2 linked regions of the Xenopus tropicalis genome follow. The protein of the gene in region 2 purifies or fractionates together with the protein of the main gene of each other region. This does not show direct contact. Links are inferred from orthologs where the notes say so. Each region holds a gene or a part of one and is shown on either strand. Other genes may lie near its edges.

Region 1 (3,753 bases), on a different chromosome or scaffold from region 2:
CTTGTTTCAATGGCCCGTATTCAAAGGCAGCTTGGCAGTGCAATTGCTAGGCAACTATTTGCAGGGACTCTGTATGTTCTCCTCATGTTTGTGAGGGTTTCCTACAAAATACCAAAAAAGACACAGGTATTTGGTTCTAGATAAAATTTACCCCAGAGTGTGTGAATGTGATAGGGACCCTAAGGCTGTAAGCTCCCTTGAAGCAGAAACTCATGAATGATGTATACTCTCGCAAAGTGCTGCTCATTGTCTCTCACTGCTCTACTGCCCCTAATTGTAGATTGTAATTATTCCTTGTTATTTATTATATAACATACAACATATCTGTGAGACACAATGCTGTCTTATACATTAATATTTCCATTTAAGAAATCTTATGTAACAAAACTTGTATCCAAGTATAAACATGCCCAAAATGACAAAACAATGTGTTCCGCGGTTCTGTCCCTGGAGGGGACAATGCAATAGTTTTTGTATTGGCAGGCACATAAATAATTCAATTCCTGGGACAACTGAAGCTGCCAATAGGTCTTAAAACTTTAAAGCGTGAAAAGTGTTGATTGTATTATTTCAGGGTTAAGCTGTTATTGCCCTTTGTATTTCCTGTACTGCAAGTTAACAGGATACCTTGAGAGAGGCTGCAAGGAGCCGGTGTGTAAAATTGTGTTGCTGGGGCTTTTCTTTGCGCAGCTTCTGCAGTTTTGGCTTCTTTGCCGGTAGTTTCTCTGGTGCAGCTTCTCCATTTGCTTTTTTGGCTGAAAAACACACAAAGCAACCAAGTTAAATGAAAATGCCTTACACTGGGCAATGACATCCAAACATCTGATAATAAACATAATTGTAAAAGTGAGAGATAACAGTACTGGATTGCAAACATTGTCATAAACCATTAACAGCATATGACTTTTCAAAGGGCAACTAAAGCACTGTATTATATCATCACACTGCGCCTGTGTACGCACACACACACGCACGCACGCACGCACGCACGCAGGTGTTCTTACCTGCTTCTGTACTAGGTTTAACATGGTATAACGTAGGCACCAGGCTGCAGGATATTCTCATAATGTTTTAGTATTATACTTAAGTTTTCTTGGCAGCTTCCTGTTATGGGAAGGCTTTTCAGATTGTCAGCTCTATTGATTAGGCCCAACTGTACCTCTTGTATCTGCTGTATTTTTGCATATAATCTATATGTTCAATTTATACATCACTGAGGAAGATGTTGGCACACTATAAACCACCTGTTAATGACTGATTTTCATGCAAATATAATGCAATTCCTTCAGTTTCAGCCAGTGCACTATATTCACACCTACTGGAAACAAATGCTACACAATCAGTAGCGCTGACATGAAGCCATAGAGGAACTGGTAATGTTGCAATACACCGGCACAGAAGTTGGCACTGCACATGAGGCCTAACGCTTAGAAATATAAAGCCCCACAGGCTGCAGTTAGGGGCACGTTCTTAGGGTGCTGTGTGATTTGTGCCTCTCTGTGCTCCTACAGGGCTTCGGGCCCCTCAACCCCAGAAACGTACTGGGTCTAACGGGTTAATTTGTTCTATATAAAGTGACTGCAGTGTCTTGCAGGGAAGTTAAAGTGAGGAAGAGGCAGAGGAAAAGGACTATATAAAACTCCATACAAAGAAATATGAATAAGGATCCATTCCACAAGCCAACGAGCCCATTAAATACAGAGGTACGGAATGCTGGCACTTTATGAATACGTTTATATACACTGTGCTTGTTTCTATACAGGGATGGGCTGAGTTAAGAGGGAGCCCCTAGAAAATCTGGGACCCCAAATGAAGGCTGGGGGGGGGGGGTTATATAAAAATGAGATCCATCCAATCCAGCCTGCAGTCAGTGGGATGCTGGGGGAATTACAGCTGGGGCTGCAGGGAGTTGTGTATATCCCCCCTATGAGGCCAATGTGATGCTGGGGCTGCAGGGAGTTGTGTATATCCCCCCTATGAGGCCAATGTGATGCTGGGGCTGCAGGGAGTTGTGTATATCCCCCCTATGAGGCCAATGTGATGCTGGGGCTGCAGGGAGTTATGTATATTCCCCCTATGAGGCCAATGTGATGCTGGGGCTGCAGGGAGTTGTGTATATCCCCCCTATGAGGCCAATGTGATGCTGGGGCTGCAGGGAGTTGTGTATATTCCCCCTATGAGGCCAATGTGATGCTGGGGCTGCAGGGAGTTGTGTATATCCCCCCTATGAGGCCAATGTGATGCTGGGGCTGCAGGGAGTTGTGTATATTCCCCCTATGAGGCCAATGTGATGCTGGGGCTGCAGGGAGTTGTGTATATTCCCCCTATGAGGCCAATGTGATGCAACAGAATACCCCCCCTGCTGCACCCTAAGCCAACTCTGCCCACACTGATGAGAGCCATTCATCCCAGAGCAGCGGCATAAAGCTACTATTCACAGAAGCCCCAATTAAAGCCAGCCCGGTGCGGGTTACGGCCTCTCACCGCTCAGGTCCTGTTCGCTGTCGCTCTGTGGGCGCTTTCCCAGTAAGGCCAGAAGCAGGATAATTCCTCCCAACAGCACCGACACCACAACCACTGCCACGGCCGCCTCCATGTCCAACAAGCGCTGGGCCACGTCACACGTCACAGGGACGCGCACGGCGCCACATCACAAGCCGCGGGAGCGCGCTTGTCCCTCAACCTTGCAAGCCCCTCCCCTCTCAGTAGTGCACATAGCGCTAGCGTGTCCGAGTGTGGGCAGGCAAACGCTACAGTGCCGCTAGCCAAATAAAGGATATAACCTCTGACCTGAAAGGCCTGCCCCAATCAGCCTAATCAGCTACCTGCCCAATCCCTGCCTCCATTGTGTTACCGCCCTGCCCCTTTCATGTCTTTAGGAAAGGTGGCAACTCCAGCTCCCACTAAACCCGCAATGTAGAATCTACATCAGTACTATGCAACCAATTCCACTTGCCCTGTTTCATACCGCCTGGCATATAGAGAGTTACCCCTCAGTTACTGTTTCTTTCTTACAACTAAAGAGACGTTCATTACTGATTTAAGTGGGAAAAGTAATCTGATCAATTGGCCTCTCCCGTACCCACAACTGAACCATGCTGCTGGAAATTGAATAACTTTTAATAGCTCCACCTTTTAGTGATGGGCAAATAGACGTTTATAAAATAAAGCAATAGGCAGACATTATGCCCCAAGCTATCCCTATCACATGTTGGCAGTGACTGCATGAACATTATTTTCCCTTTCATTATATGGCAGATTTTCAGCTTGCCACTTGCCCCGCCCCCAGACATTAGCTCTCCTTCCTTTCCCTGACAGCGGGGGTTCAGGGATCAGTGTCGTCACTATCCGAGTACGATAAGGCCACGCCCCTTGGTGCCGTCACGCTGAGGTGTCCGTAAGAAAATGTCGGGCCGCTCAGTGAGAGCCGAGACCCGCAGCCGGGCTAAAGATGACATCAAAAAAGTGATGGCAGCCATCGAGAACGTCCGCAGATGGTGAGGACGAGCTCAGAGAACGATAAACAGGGCTGCGTTGCACTTATTAGGCGCGACTTCTAGCTTGTAAGAGAAACGACAGATCTCTGATGCCGGCTTGATACTTACAGTGATAAAAACGCTGATTGGTGGAGCGCGTGATGGACGTTGTAATGGGCCAATCGCCGCGCAGCAGTCAGGAGATAACTTTGGAATGAGAGACAGTGACAGCTCCAAAGGGTGGGGAGGATGAGATACAGAGAGGCTATGCGGTAAT
Region 2 (3,653 bases):
GATACTTACGGGGATATGGTTATTTATAGAAGGTCAGTACAAAAATGTGCCTTATGGGCTGTTCCACTGGATACTTATGGGGATATGGTCATTTATAGAAGGTTGGTATTGGGGGCAAGTTTTGGAAGCCCAGATACAAAGTTTTACCCAAGCAGAGCCCCCTGCAGGCTAGCAGTCACATGGGGCTACCAAATAGCCAATTACAGCCCTTACTTGGCTTCTCCAAAGAACTATTCTCATGCTTGTGTGGCTCATCAACACTTTTTACATCTGAGTGTGGCTCAGGAGTAAAAAACATTGGGGATTTCTGGATTAGGGAATGCCCAACCTAGAGTGGCATTTCATTAGCTGAGTTCACTGAAACGCTTTCAATTAAGAGATTACCTTGCTATGTTACTAATAAGAGCTAAGTAACTATGTTTGAATACACGATTTCAATAAAATTGTCCGGTTTAAAAAGTGCTGCATCAGTTATGGGCAAGAGTGTGTTCAAATGAGACAGATGCCAGTGCTACTTTCTGAAAGGGCATCATTCATATATGGGGGAACCATTAGGAAACAGATTAGTAGTCATGCAAGAGGGGAGGTAAGGGTCATGCCACGCAACCAAGAGATTCAAAACACAAGCAAAAGATATTATTAATGTCACAAAATGACATGGCATGCCACTAAAGAAGAGGGAGGCACCCCCTAATAACATTCTTCATTTGCCCAGGAATGACAGTTACCTCAAACTGTTAGCCACACCAAAGGGAGAACAGAATGAGTCCATTCCCACAAGATGTGTATGCGCAGAACCTATACAGGCCCAACAGATTTAAAAAATTTCCAACATGTAGCATACCATAAAGGCATATTTATCTGAAGACAGAAAAACAAAATTTCACTGGCACAAGCTTGTATTTATAGGGGAAATACAAGAAAATCAGCTGCAAATATATCTGGCTAAACCAATGCAATACTAAATAGATATATAGCATTAACTTATACTGGTGCTGACTGACAACAGAACTACCTGCAAAAGGACTTTACCAGTTTCCCATGGACATTTGTTTGCCCAAAAGTGGACTAGTGATGTACAGTTGTACAAGACACCTTAATAATACAGCTGCCCTAAGAGCGCTGCTGACTCTTTGGTTGCCAATGTGTACTCTGCCTAGCAACTGTTGTGTTATTACAACCTAACAATGCAGCATACACCTAAATAAGACTCTCAATATGAAAGACATTTCTCTAAAGGGAAAATAAAAAACTTTTAAGCTTACCATATGGATATTGCAGAACGGAAAGTGCGCCATTGCTGTATTCTTCATGAGAAAATTTATCATTGCTCAGGCACTTATCAAATTCGTCTGAGCCAACCAGCACAGGGGTACGAGAGGGAGAGTCTGAAATGAATAATGGGGCATCAGTGAAGTTATAGAAAGTATCGGCCTTTTCAGAAACAGGAGCAATATTTTTATAAATGCCAAATATGTAATCCCCAATATTATAAAGTCTATAGATTATATATAGGTTATCAGTATCACTTCCTTCTTCCCAACTTCTCAAAGCAGAATTCTATACTGGCATCTCAATAAATGCAATGAAATAGGAAGGGTGGGGAGACCCATTCCAGTACGGAAAGGAAGTGGCACTTACGAATTAAAGGTTTCCACTTAATCCTGGGTAAAGATATAATGGCATTGTCCTTAGTCCTAGTATCCAATGCAGTTGGATTTACAGGAAACTTCTCAGAAATTCTAACAGATGACTGGAGATAAAGCTGTCCACGGAACATCCCTAAACAGAATAAAAATAATTAAAAAAGAAAAAAAAGTTATGAAGAAATAATTGTAAATGCACTGGGTACTGTTCCTTTAAGGATTTAAGAGTATGATGCAATGCCAAGTACCTACCTAAGTAGAAGCTGGACTCCGTGGCACCTCTTGCTGCCTCTACAAGATCTTCTTCATCCTCAAAGATTTCATCATCTGACGTATAGCTTGTATCGTCGAAAAGGCTAATAGGAACAACCTTTCCATTTCGAACGAGCCAGGCTGAGGCGATTGGAGTGCAGAACTGGAAAGGATGGATCAGATTTATCAGAATTGAGAAAAGACAAGTGTAAACAGAGTCCGAGATGAAATGTACACTGCAAGGGGAAAAAATACCTACAATAAAGATCTACAAGCTGCATAGAGATGTAGCATCCGTTACAGCCCTCTATGAAAGGGCCAGTAACAGCAAGTAGTGAAAATGGTTTGTTTACGTTTAGAAGATCTGTTTGTCCACAAAAAGGACATTCAAAGTAGAAATAGACTTTTATACGATAAGGGTTTCATTCTGCAGCCATTAGGGCTCTGGCACACGGGGAGATTAGTTGCCCGCATTACATTTTCGCCGGTGGGATGGCATTTCGGGGAGATTAGTCGCCCGCGAACAGGGAGATTTGTCGCGGGCGACTAATCTCCCCGCGTGCCAGAGCCCTTACTGAACATCTGACCTCTTTTTATACATGGGGTCATTTTATTTTTATCTTATCTAAAGCATATGCTCTTTCCTATTACAATGGAGTGCTTGAAATTGGCATAAATCTCCAAATGTACAGGTTTCAAAAGGCCTGCTAAAAGGACCATGGGTTCCCAGAGTGGCCAAAAGCTAATTCTCCCTTTCTTACACTGCTCATAGAAAATAATTTAGTGTAAAAAGTCTTAAACCGGCTCTCTACAGACCCAAGCTTTGCCCATACATTTAAATGTGTGAATAGAGAAGCCAAGGAGCAGGTAGCACAGATTCCAGCTTTGTACTTGGGCAAAAAGGACAGACAGACTGCATTTTCATTGGATTTGTGGAGTTTAATTAGAGATGGTCCCAGTCGCACATCAGGCATTACTGTGTCCGACCAGGCGAAACTGAAAATATCTCTGTTGAAAGTTTTAAGGTGAGCAAATTCATAGACAAAAAAAAAAAAAAGTTTTTATACCTGGTGTTCCCACTCTAAATGGCCCAGCTTTCTGTTGAAAGCCATAACCTTCCAGTCAGCTACAGAAACCTTGATGGCCAAATCATTGGTTCCAACTTCTTGGTCATCTCCATCAGAAATAATCCTAGACTCGTCTGTGCTATAACTTGGCTCAAGCTGTCCTTCAATAAACCCCACTCCAGGCTCAATGTCCGGGATATATCTCAGCTCAAAATGTCCAACGCTGAAGTTCCACCTTAACAGAGATAAACAAAACAAATAGGGTTATTTATACTTAGAGGCAAGAGGCCCCGTAGAGCTTGCAATCCAACACTTATCTCTTAATCTTTAATGTAACTGTACTTTGTGTTTTATTAATGTATTATCCTGCTGTTCAGTGCAGCATACATAAGTAGCACTATATAATATTACTTTTACTATGTATTTATAAAGTGGCAATATATTCCACAACCTGGGTCGGACTGGTGGGTGCACCGCACCCCCCTAGGTGCCCCCAGCCAGCTGTGTACCCCGATGCATTCCGTCCCCCCGCCACACCCCCCTAACCCCCTGCAGGGGGCCCCCTCCCGATGTCCTCCCCTGAGCGCACATAAGCGAAACGCATCAGGGGAGGACACCTGGGGCCAGGGAGCGGCAACAGACATCGGGTCTGGGCTGCCGGGGCCCACCAGGTTTTTTCCCCGGCGGC

Evidence for each region. Proteins that work in one complex are often made in the same cells at the same time.
Region 1: the proteins of eif2ak3 (region 2) and tbl2 purify together in Homo sapiens (affinity purification with western blotting; 3 studies listed by BioGRID). This does not show direct contact. The link is inferred for Xenopus tropicalis from reciprocal best matches to the Homo sapiens genes EIF2AK3 and TBL2.

What each region holds. Positions count from the first base shown.
Region 1 is NC_030678.2:30,761,431-30,765,183, reverse strand, and holds the start of tbl2 (transducin beta-like protein 2), read right to left. Parts: upstream 2,693-3,753; 5' UTR 2,597-2,692; coding exon 2,485-2,596; intron 756-2,484; coding exon 628-755; intron 1-627. Other genes in the region: bcl7b (B-cell CLL/lymphoma 7 protein family member B), read left to right, coding at 3,406-3,497.
Region 2 is NC_030677.2:18,083,958-18,087,610, reverse strand, and holds part of eif2ak3 (eukaryotic translation initiation factor 2-alpha kinase 3), read right to left. Parts: intron 3,201-3,653; coding exon 2,966-3,200; intron 2,062-2,965; coding exon 1,899-2,061; intron 1,783-1,898; coding exon 1,642-1,782; intron 1,389-1,641; coding exon 1,266-1,388; intron 1-1,265. UniProt on the Homo sapiens protein: Metabolic-stress sensing protein kinase that phosphorylates the alpha subunit of eukaryotic translation initiation factor 2 (EIF2S1/eIF-2-alpha) in response to various stress, such as unfolded protein response (UPR).